Struthio camelus: one gene and its partner. The protein of the gene in region 2 interacts with the protein of the main gene of each other region in a biochemical or structural test. Links are inferred from orthologs where the notes say so. Each region holds a gene or a part of one and is shown on either strand. Other genes may lie near its edges.

What was found. The genes of interacting proteins can lie anywhere in the genome.
Region 1: the proteins of CCKBR (region 2) and CCK form a complex in vitro, tested with the Homo sapiens proteins (3 studies listed by BioGRID). The link is inferred for Struthio camelus from reciprocal best matches to the Homo sapiens genes CCKBR and CCK.

What each region holds. Positions count from the first base shown.
Region 1 is NC_090943.1:51,798,748-51,806,259, forward strand, and holds the start of CCK (cholecystokinin), read right to left. Parts: upstream 3,004-7,512; 5' UTR 2,915-3,003; exon of another isoform or gene 2,794-2,914; intron 1,813-2,793; 5' UTR 1,811-1,812; coding exon 1,555-1,810; intron 1-1,554. UniProt on the Homo sapiens protein: This peptide hormone induces gall bladder contraction and the release of pancreatic enzymes in the gut. Its function in the brain is not clear.
Region 2 is NC_090942.1:225,047,477-225,054,319, reverse strand, and holds the start of CCKBR (gastrin/cholecystokinin type B receptor), read right to left. Parts: upstream 3,013-6,843; 5' UTR 2,977-3,012; coding exon 2,808-2,976; intron 1-2,807. Other genes in the region: CNGA4 (cyclic nucleotide-gated channel alpha-4), read right to left, coding at 5,307-5,360, 5,825-6,456, 6,536-6,843. UniProt on the Homo sapiens protein: Receptor for gastrin and cholecystokinin. The CCK-B receptors occur throughout the central nervous system where they modulate anxiety, analgesia, arousal, and neuroleptic activity.

The DNA.
Region 1 (7,512 bases), on a different chromosome or scaffold from region 2:
TCAGAATAAAAACAACTTTTTCAGTTGTTTCTAATTTGATCATACTCCGTGTATACAAATGAGTGTGTATGCCGGCATACATAAGTATAAAATGCACATGATCTCTTAATTGCAGACCTCCTTCAAAAATAAGGAAAGGATTCTGCCTAGTGCAGGGATCAGCAGTGAGGCTACCAGGAGGGGAAGATGAAGTAAACTGCACAAGGTAATGTGGAGAGACAGGAGAGGAGAAAGCCATTACTTACGTAAAGTGAACTTCATCCTAAACAGAGCCTGGGTCTGTGAGTTAAGCAATTGTGTCCATATGGACACAATGTCCATATGTCCAGGTCATCATAATTACTGTCTCTCTCTTCAGCCCTCTATGCTTCTAATATGTCCTTTTTCCCCTGCAATACCAGAGATAGACCAGCCAGAAGCTATAGCAAGTAAACAAGATTTGTGCAACTCCACAAGTTGCGTGGTGGCTTTTGCTGAGGCTGGCAGCCATCTCTCTCCCATGGAGTCGACAGCAATTAGGTTGCCCGCAGTGCTACTCTACTCAGACAGAAAGCAATACACAGATGAGATACTTCAAAAGGAAAAGTGTCTTTTAGGAGAGTTTCAACGGGGAACTATATGAAACCATTTTGATCCATCACATCTACTGATAGTACAGACAGCATATGTGTGTGTGCATGTAAAATATATACTTTTATTATACAGCTTTATTCTTTCCCTAGCTAGCTCATGTATGTAATACAGTTTCTTCCTTAAATGACTATATCACATAAGAAAAAAATCAAGCCCTCAAATTCCATTACTCTTGTCAGTGCTTCACACCCTGTTACAAATGCAGTGCCATGGAGGTTTTAAGTAACTGCAAGATTCTGTTGTACTCCAAGGCTGCCTGGGACTCAAAACCAAATAGGAATTGACACATTTTGAAGCAAACACTTTTATTTACCACTGCTTTAGCACTGTGTTCATAAATGCAAGTTCCGATCTTTCAAAAGCTCGCATGCTTTTGTAACTTCTCCCTGAGAACAACTACATGGAAAGTCCAATACTCAGAAGATTTCCCTGTTGTGGATGTTCCTGGCTGAGGAAAGATTAGCCATTTGGTCTGTATTTAGCCACAGAAAAGCTTTCCTGCTCTCCTAACTTCAAAGAGGAATGGAGGTTTTTTAAATGAAAAAGTTCAAGAAAATGCAATTACTAGATTTTGGGTGAAATAAAACATGCTGCAAAACATACCAAAATAATTACAAGGCTATGAAAATAAGTGAAAATAAATAAATAAATGCTCAGCTAGAACCTGACAGGGAGGTTTAAATTTTCCTGTTACCTGTACCCAGCTCTCAGCCAGTGGATGATACGTGAAAAATCTTTTTGGCAGAGTTTTGCAACAACAGAAAAGGAGAATGCTCTCTACTTCAGGAATAACTAGGCAAAAATCTACCTCCTATCTTCTGTGGTAATCCATGCTGGACTATGACAGGGTTCCCTTAACATCTAGGTTTTTCTGAAGGAAACTCCACTAACGCAGAAGCAGCATAGGAAGTAGGCTATTACCTTTTCTGGCTTGCTGGAGATACTTGGCCAACAAAGCACCAATGTTAGCTCTTTGGTCGATGCTTCCATCCAGCCGCGGGACAGGTTTCAGCGGGCCGGTGGATGAAGGGGCGCGGACGTGCCGGTGATGCTCTGTCAAACTCTGCTCAAGCTCGGCAGCCAGTGGATTCCCATTGTGTGAGCCCGCAGTCTGCTGCCCGAAAGAGCTTGCTGAGAGCACAGCAAGGAACACGCAGATGCATATACCACTGTACATTGCTGGAGAGAATAGGAATCAGGGGTTAAAACGATCAGATATTTTATGTTATCCCCACCTTCATTTTTGGAGGCAACGGCTTCTGAGCAAGCTTTTTTTTTTTTTAAACAGGGATAACTGTGGGATCAGCATTAAGCTGGAAAACATGTACATTAATAGTTAAATATCCCTGGGTAAGAGGCAGAAGCATCTGTGGGCTGTTAAGTAACACAGGAAGGGATAAAACCAATTCACTGTGCTTTGTGCAGCATCTCCTTGATTCACTCCATTCCTCCTCGCTTTTCTGGAAGCTGCATTTCACTAAAACATAAGAAACACATCCAGCTCCGAGGAAAATCCCAGGATTAAAAAACACCACTATTCCGCTGTTGTGCTAAAACCCACTGTTACTGCAAATACTTGATTTTGAAAAGTTTTACGGAGCCATTACTTCGAGCAACCTTTCTTTGGTTTGAACTGCAGCGCTCAAGAGGCTTTATCTTGTCACACAGTGAGGAGGAAAGCAGCCACAGAAGGAAAATAAAACCAAAATCTATAACCTCCCCCCCAGCACTGGATCTAACCGTTGAGGTGGTAAAAGCTGGTCGGGAGTAAGAAATAACGTGCAGCGTGGCAATACTCTTCTTGATGTAAAGCAGAGAGCTCAAGTGTAATGATTTTTGTTTGCTGCTTCCTTAAGGAAACGAATATTAGAAAAAACGATGTCCTTTCGCTAGATTATTTGATTATATAAACGGACACAGGCTTTTCTTCCGGACACATAAAAATTACTCTCCGTAAAAACAGGCGAAACAACGTAGCTAAAGCTTAACGCTTTAAGGCTACTTCCCACTTACACAAGTTACCTGCACGGGAGCTGGTGACTCAGTTTAAGTTCCTGAACAGCGCACCGAACAACCGCCTTACAATTTCATAAGAAGGGCAAAAAAAAAAAAAACCAAAAAAACACGAAGTTCATTCGCCACCCCCCCCACCCCGTATACCTTAGACCGAAAACACTGGCAGTGCGCAAAACCCGACCTTTCGGCAGGGCGGGAGAGGAAATCAAAGCGCCACTGAAGTCCCACTCCAGCCCGCCGCGGGGTGCCGGCCGCCGCCGCCTACCTGCCGCTGCGCCGCCGAGGCCAGACCCGAGGGAGCGAGGCCGTGCGCGCCCAGGCTCGGCACTCAGTCAGGGCCGCCTCTGCCGCCGGCCCCTTAAATAGCGGCGGCGGCTGTTTGCACAGCTCTGACGCAGCCGCCGCCGCCCGCCGGGCCGGGGGGAGCCGGGTCGGGGGCCGGGGGGGGGGGAGCGGGGCGCCCCTCCCCGAGGCGGCGGCGGTTGGCGCCGTTGGGCTTTGCCTGGCCCCCGCCGGGGCGCGTCGGGCTCTCAGCCCTCGCTGAGGTGAAACTCTCAGCCCGAGCGCCGGCTGCCTGGCGGCTGGAGATTTTAAAACTACACCTCAGCCAAGGGATTCTCCCTCCCCCCCGCCTTCCCTCAGCCCAAACACGGCGGTGAGGGGCTGCCGGTGGCGGCTCCTGCCCGGGGGCGGCGGGTTTTTCACTCTTGACACGCGCCGGCGTTTATTTTCGGGGGGGAAGAAACGGTTCGGGCTTTTCTCGGCTGTGCCGAGCGCACCCTCCCGCCTGCTCAAGGAGAAGGGGCCCCTCATTTTCTTTTGAAAAGCCCCCAGACCTCGAGAGGGGAAAGGGAACACCGACCCCCCCCCCCCCCCCCAAGTGGGGCCGAGCGGGCTGCAGGGCGCCACGGGCAGCGATGGCGCTGGGCTCCGGCGTGATCCTGCCCCGCTGCTCAGGCTGCCACCCCGGCTCCTTCGTCGGCCAAAGAGCCTGGCTGGCTGACCAGGCACCGAGCCTCCCCTGGGAGCCGCGTGTCGGCGGCGGCTGGGCCGGGGGCCGGCCCGAGGGGCACCCCGCTGAAGCAGCAGCTCTGGGGACCCTCCAGGGCCGGGCGCAGCGCCCCTAGGAAGGGGCCGCTCTGGCGGGAGCCGCCCTTGCTCCCCGTCTCCTCGGCACCGCCGCGGGACGAGCCCTGCCCCGGGCCTGCAGGGGCATCCCAGCGCCAACCGCCTGCTGTGCAAGAGAGGGGTCAAGTCATCCGAAAGGCAGAAACCCCGTGGCAGGAAGGTGCCCCACAGCGGGCCAAGAGAAAGCCAGCCTGCTGCTGCCAGGAAGGGCCGCTGAGCCGCTTTCTCCCAGGCGCTGTCACTTTTGCGGGGCAGCTCCCTCACCGCCAGGCCCCGTCCCCACCCAAACCGGACCCCTGCCGCTCCCTGTGTCGCCCGGCTGCGGCACACTGGGCGCAGGGAGAGCAGCCACCGGCATCCCGGCGCAGCTGGTAGCGCTGCTGGCCTGAGAGGGGTGTTGTGGCTTCGCCTTGGTGGGGAGAGTGGTGGGGGTGATGGGGATGGTGGTGGGATGGGAGGTGATGGGGACAGTGGTGGGACGGGGGAGCGGTGGTGACAGTGGTGGGACAGCAGGTGATGGGGACAGTGGTGGGACAGAGTGTGATGGGGACGGTGGTGAGACAGGGTGTGATGAGGATGGTGGTGGGACGTTGGGTGATGAGGACAATGGTGGGATGGGGGTGATGGGGATGGTGGTGGGACAGTGGGTGATGGGGACAATGGTGGGATGTGGGTGATGGGGATGGTAGTGGGACAGAGGGTAATGGGAACAGTGGTGGGACGGGGGAGTGATGATGGTGGTGGGACGGGGTGATGGGGATGGAGGTGCACAAGCTCTGTCACTGTGAGCCTCTAACCAGGATATTTGTCACTGAACAGGATGTTCTGACTGAGCTGTGGACTGCTTTTTGTCTTCCCACATAAGTGCCAGCGCTGGGTGAAGTTGCCATCCCAAGGAAGTTAAAAAACAAACCAAAACCAAAACCTACTTTGAAAACAGAAAAGTAAGTTGAAGTGGAATTGTCAGAGCAAAGAAGAACAACACTGAAATACTTCCAGCAATTCCCTCCAGGGGAATGGGCTTGTTTAATGGCTCTGTCTTTGAATAAACCAATAATACTGCTGATAACTCAGTTTCACTATTTGGCCCTGGTGGGAAAAATGCTCACTGATATTAGACGATTAAATAGTCAAGAGTCAAACTGTACGTTCTTGGGAAAAGTATCACAATCTTTCTGGGAAAGTACAAGACAGTAGCAATTCTAGTAGAGTCATATCAAGTCCCTGGGAAACTCAGTGTAGATAATGAGTTCTCAAAGGACCAGTCCAAAGCTTAATAGAAGAGAATGACAGAGAACTTAGTAATACATGCTATGCATAATTTGTATTACAGAAGTATAAACATAAATGCAAACATTTAATCTGACACATTTATCTCTGTGAACAAGTTCATTTACTTTGAGTTGATTTGGAATATTAGTTCGATTATTAATTTGTCTTTGTAAAAGTCCGCAGAAGGTTCCCTTTGGTTCAAATTGGCAGAAGTTGTGTATTTCTTGACAGGTAAATTTCACTATGCAATAAGACAGGGTATCCATTGAATGTAAACATTTACAGTTCATAAAGCTGCTGCTGCTGAGTCTGTTGTGTCTTCCTGTCACTGTTTCTTGAAACTCCAGGGCTCCACATGAGCAGAGAGAAAGCCTCTGTGTGTGGAGAGGGAGCGGAGCAGCCAAGCTTACTGAACTGTATGTTCACATGGGAATACAGGACAAAAACATCAGAATATGCTTAGTGGCATAAAAATTCAAATAGTGAAGATAGGAATGTCTGCTGGACATTTACATGCATATAAAAATTGTACGGGATCTCTGTGCTATTAAAAGATCATATACTACCTTTTTCGCTGTACCTCTGAGTCGATCAAATATCTGTGCTTGCAATGAAAGAGTCAGAGATTCAACAGTGTGAGTTCAGCAGGAGATTTCCTGCCTCATGCTACCCATGTGCTCTCTTATACTACTTGCAAAACCCTCTTTCTTTTCCCTGTTTAGGCATCATGGTGTATGAATAAAATTAGTGAGGCTACAGCATCACGTCAAGTTATTAAAGTCAGTGGTACTGCACTGTCAAAAACTGTAACTTTGATTATAGATTTCTGAATACTAAATTCTCCCCAGTGAGTTCCTTAATACCAGTATGTAAAAGTCTTAGAAATCATTTTCTGATTTATTGATGTTACCTTCAGTAAAAGTTTGAAGTGGTGTGAAACCACTAGTTCTTGCTAAATAAGTGTCAATTTGGCATTTTAGTGTTATTTTAGACAGATAAGGGAATGGAAAGCCTGTTACAGGTTGAAAAACGTGATCATAGGACTTTGGCACTTGGGATAGCTTAGGCTGTGTATTACTGACTGATGTGGCACAAAACGGAAAGAATCAGCATTTGATTTGCAGTACTCTGTTATGGTTCCAGGACCCAAGTTTTCATGAGTTGCTCGTCCTAGACCTGCACCACGTGTCTGTAGACTGTTAACTGCAGGTGGGTCTTGTGCTGCCATTACAATTGGGGCGAACTACGTACTGCTGTGGTGCGTGACTTCCTCGGGGGGGCGAAACTGTTTTGATTGAACCAGAGCTTGAGCAATACTGCTAGACTCCAAGTATAGATGCAAAACAAATTTACACCCAACAAGAACCCTGCAATGCAGTAAATCATTAAAATAGATGCACCTCTTAGGTAGCAGCTAGATGACACTGTAGTTTAAAGGCTGCAAGCTTTTTTAAATAGGTTTTCTGGTAAGCTTCTGTTAAAGGATCTGAGCTTTTCCACCTTTCCCCCCATCACAATCCAGATATTTCTACCCTCAACTGCTTTATTTATTTATCTGCCAAAGATTTTCCCCCATGTAGCAGAGGTGGCAAAAGAGAACGTGTGGTTGAGTATAAGCTGTTCTGGTGTGAAGCTCAGAGATGGGCTTGAAGCAAGAAGTGAGCGTGAGCCCCAAGGGACGGGCACATATTTTCTTATGCCTGTTCTGCAAGAGAGGTGGCCGGTGCCAATAGCAGAGTGCAGCAAGGCGCTGTGAGCATTAATATCTCATCGTCTCTCTGCTGCTGAGCTGGTCTGTGAGTGGCAGAAAGTGGCAAGGAGCTTGGAAACGCCCTGCTCTTTCCTACTGTAGTGAGCATGCAATTGCGGTGCAATGCCTCATTTCCATCAATGTGCATGTGACTTTTGTCTCTTTAGTATGTGTTTTTCATGGCAATATCATGTGCAGTTTGCAACAGCACAGTTGCCATGTGGACAGCATAGCAACTTCTGATGCCTATATCTGATGCCTTTTCTTTTTAGCCCAAAAGGAAACATATGGATCTTACTCACTACGTGTTATTGCGTGGCTTTGGATTCTAAGACTTTTTAGGCTGAATACTAAATGAGGAGTAGTATACTGACAAGTATTAGTATACTGGGAATTTAGGCTGTGAAGGATAAAGCCAGATGGCTATCTTGTGGGACTTGAGGAAACCCTGTGCCCAGGAGGGTAACAAGAAACATATTTTTTCCTTTCTGAGTACTATATCCTTTTCTGATTATCACTATGCAGTGTTTTTTTGCTTTCCTTTGGACCTTGATACTTAATGGTAATATGCTTTGCTATGTTGGAGTAAGTTTATTTTTTCTGTGTAATCGATGGAGCGGTGGCTGGGGTGTTTAGAATGAAGTAGCAAGAATTAGCAAAGGGTAGCAGGGAGAGGAATGGTATAATTTTCTGGAACGAACAGACCAATTGGT
Region 2 (6,843 bases):
CTCCGAGCAGTGGAGCTGTGGAGCCCCCAAGCCGCGGAGCTCCGAGCAGTGGAGCTGTGGAGCCCCCAAGCCGCGGAGCTCCGAGCAGTGGAGCTGTGGAGCCCCCAAGCCGCGGAGCTCCGAGCAGTGGAGCTGTGGAGCCCCCAAGCCGCGGAGCTCCGAGCAGTGGAGCTGTGGAGCCCCCAAGCCGCGGAGCTCCGAGCAGTGGAGCTGTGGAGCCCCCAAGCCGCGGAGCTCCGAGCAGTGGAACCATGGAGCCATGGAGCTGCGGAGCTCCGAGCCGTGGAGCCCCCAAGCCGCAGAGCTCCGAGCTGTGGAGCCGCAGAGCCCCGAGGCGTGGAGCTGTGGAGCCGCAGAGCCGGGTGGTGCCGTGCGGGGTAGGGGGTCCTGCTGTCCTGCAGTCTGGTGCCGCTTGGGCACGCAGCCCCCCCGGGCCAGTGACTGGGACCTGGGACTGTGCTGTGGGCACCAGCTGGTGTGACAAACCAGACCCAGATGCAGCAGGGATGGGGCACTGTGGGATGCTCCGGGCTGCGTGGAGGCAGGAGCATGGGGTGCACCGTGTGCACGGTGGGATGAACGGAGCTGCTTTGGGGAGGCAGACAGGACACAGGGGGGCGCACTGGGGTGCACCGGGCGGGTGGACACGGTGCACAGCAGAGTGCACAGGAGGTGTATGGTGGGGTGAACCAGGCAGGTGGGCAGCACATTGGGAGGTGTGGGGTGCACGGGGGGTGCTCCAGGCAGGTGGATGGGACGCACGGCAGAGTGCGCAGTGGAGCGTGTGGCACGGTGTGCAGGAGGGGGCACCATGCAGGTGGACGGAGCACAGACTGGGGTGCACAGGGGGGTGCATGAGGCAAGCAGACGGGGCGCACGGAGGGTGCACCGGGCAGGCAATGGGGCGCACAGGGGGGTGCACCGGGCAGGCAGTGGAGCGCACGGGGGGTGCACCGGGCAGGCGGACGGGGTGCACGGAAGGGTGCACCAGGCAGGCGGACGGGGCGCACGGGGGGTACACTGGGCAGGCGGAGGGGGAGCACGGAAGGGTGCACCGGGCAGGCGGACGGGGCGCACGGGGGGTGCACCGGGCAGGCGGACGGGGCGCACGGAAGGGTGCACCAGGCAGGCGGACGGGGTGCATGGGGGGTGCACCGGGCAGGCGGACGGGGCGCACGGGGGGGTGCACCGGGCAGGCGGACGGGGCGCACGGGGGGTGCACTGGGCAGGCAGTGGGGCGCACGGGGGGTGCACCGGGCAGGCGGACGGGGCGCACGGGGGGTGCACCGGGCAGGCAGTGGGACGCACGGGGGGTGCACCGGGCAGGCGGACGGGGCGCACGGAAGGGTGCACCAGGCAGGCGGACGGGGTGCATGGGGGGTGCACCGGGCAGGCGGACAGGGCGCACGGGGGGTGCACCGGGCAGGCAGTGGGGCGCACGGGGGGTGCACCGGGCAGGCGGACGGGGCGCACAGGGGGGTGCACCGGGCAGGCAGTGGGGCGCACGGGGGGTGCACCGGGCAGGCAGTGGGGCACACGGGGGGTGCACCGGGCAGGCGGACGGGGCGCACGGGGGGTGCACCGGGCAGGCAGTGGGGCACACGGGGGGTGCACCGGGCAGGCGGACGGGGCGCACGGAGGGTGCACCGGGCAGGCGGACGGGGTGCATGGGGGGTGCACCAGGCAGGCGGTGGGGCGCACGGAGGGTGCACCAGGCAGGCGGACGGGGCGCACGGGGGGTGCACCGGGCAGGCAGTGGGGTGCACGGGGGGTGCACCGGGCAGGCGGACGGGGCGCACGGGGGGTGCACTGGGCAGGCGGATGGGGCGCACGGAAGGGTGCACTGGGCAGGCGGACGGGGCACACGGGGGGTGCACCGGGCAGGCAGTGGGACGCACGTGGGGTGCACTGGGCAGGCGGACGGGGCGCACGGGGGGTGCACTGGGCAGGCAGATGGGGCGCACGGAGGGTGCACCGGGCAGGCAGTGGGGCGCACGGGGGGTGCACCGGGCAGGCGGACAGGGTGCACGGAAGGGTGCACCAGGCAGGCGGACGGGGCGCATGGAGGGTGCACCGGGCAGGCAGTGGAGCGCACGGGGGGTGCACCGGGCAGGCGGACGGGGCGCACGGGGGGTGCACTGGGCAGGCGGACGGGGCGCACGGAGGGTGCACTGGGCAGGCGGATGGGGCGCACGGAAGGGTGCACCGGGCAGGCAGACGGGGTGCACGGAGGGTGCACCGGGCAGGCAGTGGGGCGCACGGGGGGTGCACCGGGCAGGCAGACGGGGCACACGGACAGGGCACACGGAGGGTGCACCGGGCAGGCAGTGGGGCGCACAGGGGGGTGCACCGGGCAGGCGGACGGGGCGCACGGGGGGTGCACCGGGCAGGCAGTGGAGCGCACAGAGGGTGCACCGGGCAGGCGGACGGGGCGCACGGAGGGTGCACCGGGCAGGCGGTGGGGCGCACGGAGGGTGCACCGGGCAGGCGGACGGGGCGCACGGGGGGTGCACCGGGCAGGCAGTGGGGCGCACGGGGGGTGCACCGGGCAGGCGGACGGGGCGCACGGAGGGTGCACCGGGCAGGCAGTGGGGCGCACGGGGGGTGCACCGGGCAGGCGGTGGGGCGCACGGAGGGTGCACCGGGCAGGCGGACGGGGCGCACCGGGAGGCTCGGGCGCAGCGCCGGGAGCCGTGTCCAGCCGGGGGCTGTCCGGTCCCGTCCGGTCCCGTCCGGTCCGGTCCTGTCCGGTCCCGTCCCGTCCCGTCCCGTCCCGTCCCGTCCCGTCCCGCCCCGTCCCGGCTCACCTTTGGGCGCGGGGGGCCCGCGGAGGCCCCTGCGGAGGAGGTCGCAGGCGGAGCCGTTCCAGGCGTTGCCGGCGCCGGTGGCGTTGCCGGTGGCGTTGCCGGGGCCGGGGCCGGGGCCGGGGCGGCAGAGCAGCTCCTGCAGCGAGTCGTTGAGGCGCCGCGGGTCCATGGCGCCGCCTCAGGGCCGCCCCGCGCCCATCGCGCTGCCGCGGGCGGCGGCACCGGCACCGGCACCGGCTGCGGCAGCGGCTGCGGCAGCGGCGGCAGCGGCGGCAGCGGGGACGCGCGGCCCCGCTCGCTCCGGAGCCGCCGAGCGAGTGAGCGGGGGCGGCGCCAGCGGCGGCCGGGGCGGGGGAGCGGGCGGGCAGCGGGAGCGGGCGGGGGCGGCGGGGGAGGCCCGGGGGACCGAGGGGTGGAGGGGCCGCGCGGGATGGGGCAGCGGGGGCGCAGGGGGCGTTTGGGGGGACGGGGGGCGGTGGGATGCTGCAGGGGCATCGGGGGTGGAGGGGGCGTTTGGGGGGACGGGGGGCGGTGGGATGCTGCAGGGGCAGCGGGGGTGCAGGGGGCGTTTGGGGGGACGGGGGGCAGTAGGACGATGCAGGGGCAGTGTTGGTGGAGGGTGTATTTGGGGGAAGGGGGGACGGTGGGATGCTGCAGGGGCATCGGGGGTGCAGGGGACGTTTGGGGTGAAGGAGGGGACGGTGGGATGCTGCAGGGGCATCGGGGGTGGAGGGGGCATTTGGGGGGACGGGGGGCAGTAGGACGATGCAGGGCAGTGTGGGTGGAGGGTGTATTTGGGGGAAGGGGGGACGGTGGGATGCTGCAGGGGCATCGGGGGTGGAGGGGGCATTTGGGGGGACGGAGGGGCGGTGGGATGCTGCAGAGGCAGAGGGGGTGCAGGGGCATTTGGGGGGGGCGGTAAGGGGGTAAGGGGGGACTTGCGGGGATGCAGGGGGCGGAGGGGACAATGCCGATGCAGAGCGCGGGGGGGCTCGGGGGTGCAGCGCGGCGCGGAGCAGGCACCCGGCGGCGCAGGGTCCCGGCGCTGCCGGGTCCGGGGAGCAGATGCAGCGGCGACCGGCACCGGCACCGGCACCGGCACCGGGCCGGGGCGGCTGCGGGAGGCGGCGCGGGAGCCTCCCGGACCCGGCTGGGCAGCGCCGCCCGCGCCCCCCGCGGTGCCCCCGGCCCCCCGCGGTCCCTCCGCGCCCCCCGCGGTGCCCCCTTGCCCCCTTGCCCCCCCTTTCCCCCCGCGGTGCCCCCGGCCCCCCCGCCGCCCCCGCGCCCCCCTTGCCCCCCCCAGCGGTGCACCCGGCCCCCCGCGGTCCCTCCGCGCCCCCCGCGGTGCCCCCGGCCCCCTGCCGCCCCCGCCCCCCGCGGTGCCGCCGCCCCCCCCGCGGCAGCGGCTGCGGCCGCTCCCAGCCGCGAGGCCACGGACACGCGCGTTCGTGGGCTGGAGCCCCGGCGGTGCCGCGCGTGTCCCGCCCGCCCGCCGGCCGTGGGGCGGGCGGTGCCGGGGCCGGGGCCGAGCAGCCCCGGCGCGACCGGCTCTCCCGGCCCGGCGGCCCGCAGCAGCCCGAGGGCGGTTGCTCGGTCCGGAGCCGGGCTCGGCCCGCTGGAGCCCCGCTCGCCCTCCCGGTGCCCCGGGTGAGCCCCCCCGATAGCCCTGCCCGGTCCCCACCCCTGCCCCATCCCTGCCCCTTCCCCTATCCCTGCCCCGTCTATCCCTGTCCCCCTCCCTGCCCCAATCCCTATCTTTTAGCCCTGCCTCTAGCCCTGTTCCTGTCCCTACCCTGCCCCATCTCTGTTCCTATCCCTGTCCCTGTCCCTCTCCCTGTCCCTTCCCCATCCCTGCCCCATCCTTGTCCTTGTCCCTGCCCTGCTCCGTCCCTCTCCCTGCCCCATTTCTGCCCCAATCCCCATCCTTTAGCCCTGCCTCCAGCCCCTGCCCTTGTCCGTGTCCTTATCCCTGCCCTTACGCCAGCCCCAAGCCCTGCCCCATCCTTATCCTTGTCCCTATTCCTGCCCCTGCCTTTGTCCTGCCTTTCCCTCACCCTGCCCCTATCCCTAACCCTGTCCCTGCCCCTCTCCCTGCCCCATCCCTCTCCTATCCCTGTTCCTGTCCCTGCTCCTATCCCTGCCCCATCCCTATCCCCATCCCTGCTCCTATCCCTGCCCCTGCCCTGTCCCTGCCCCTGCCCCTATCCCTGTCCCTGTCCCTGTCCTTGTCCCTGCCCCTGCTCCTTCCCCTGTCCCTGCCCGGCCCGTGGACCTGTTCCTGCAGCTATTGTTGTTCTCCGGTAGCAACTGTCTTTATTGTTCCCCAGCAAGTTCTAACAGTTACGCAGCAACTATTGTTACTGTTAGTTACCAGCTGTTGTCATTGTTACCTAGCACCTATTGTCAATGTTACATAGAACTTGGTCACTGTTACTTGGCAGTTGTTGTCATTGTTACTTAGCAACTGCTGTCATTGCTACCTAGCAACTACTGTCAATGTTACCTAGCAACCATGGTCACCGGTTCCTCACACTGCACCCGGACGAGGAGTTGCTGCCGGTTAACCCTCAGCGCCGGGTGGCTGTGCCCCGCATGCCCTGCACCCCCGCGGAGCCCCGTCCCCCAGCAAGACCCCGTCCCCCGGCATCGCCCCGTCCCCCGGCATCGCCCCGTCCCCCAGCAGGACCCCGTCCCCCAGCAGGACCCCGTCCACCAGCAGGACCCCGTCTCCCAGCAGGACCCCGTCCACCAGCAGGACCCCGTCCCCCGGCATCGCCCCGTCCCCCAGCATCACCCTGTCTCCCGGCAGGACCCTGTTCCCCGGCAGGACCCCGTCCACCAGCAGGACCCCATCCCCCAGCATCACCCTGTCCCCCAGCAAGACCCCATCCCCCGGCAGGACCCTGTCCCCCGGCAGGACCCCGTCCCCCAGCAGGACCCCGTTTCCCAGCATCATCCTGTCCCCCAGCAGGACCCCGTCCCCTGGCAGGACCCCGTCCGCCGGCATCACCCTGTACCCCAGCATCGCCCTGTCCCGCGGCATCACCCTGTCCCCCAGCAGGACCCCGCAGCGTGGCAGGCACCTGCGCCCTGGTGGGACCTGGTGCCCCACTGGGACCTGGTGCCCTGGTGGGACCCTGTCCCCCAGCAGGACCCCGCGGCGTGGCAGGGCCCTGCACCCTGGTGGGACCTGGTGCCCCACTGGGACCTGGTGCCCTGGTGGGACCCTGTCCCCCAGCAGGACCCCGCGGCGTGGCAGGCCCCTGGGCCCCAGCAGGACCCGGTTCCCCGGCAGCGCCCCGCCGCCGGAGCCGGCGCTCCAGGCGCTCGATGCGCAGCGCCAGCTTGAAGGCGCTGGACTCCAGCTGGGCCAGCAGCCGGGCCACCCGGGTCTGCAGCCCCTCCAGGGCCGCCTCCAGCGCCCGCGCCCGGCGCTCGGCCTCCTCGGCCGCCGCCGCCGCCGCCGCCTCGGCGTGCACGTCCAGCTTGTCCAGGCGCAGCAGGATCTCGCGGCCCTTGGCCTCCATCATGGCCCGGGCGCTGGGGAACTCGGCCAGCACCTCCCTCAGGTCCTCCTTGGAGAGGCAGAAGAGGTCCGAGTAGCCGATGCTCTTGATGTTGGCCGTGCGCCGGTTTCCCGACTTGTTCCCTGGGGACGGGGAGGCCGCGGTGAGGCGGGGGGCGCAGGAGCGGGGGTCCCGCGGCAGGGGCCGGCGCCCCGGGCTTACCTTTGATGTTGATGAGGCTGATCTCGCCGAAGTAGAGCCCCTCGCCCAGGACGGCGAGCTGGGTGACGCCGTCGTCGGCCACCACGGCCAGCCGCCCCTCGCGGACGAAGTACATCTCGCGGCCGACGTCGCCCTTGCGGCAGACGAACTCGCCGGGGCTGAAGACCTGGGGCCGCAGCTTGAGCACCAGCTCCTCCAGCACGCCGCGCTCGCAGCTCTGGAAGAGGGCCACCTTGCGCAGGGCCGGCAGGTGCACGCTGGCGGCCACCTCGGCCCGCAGCCGGGCCGGCAGGTGCCGCAGCACCCCC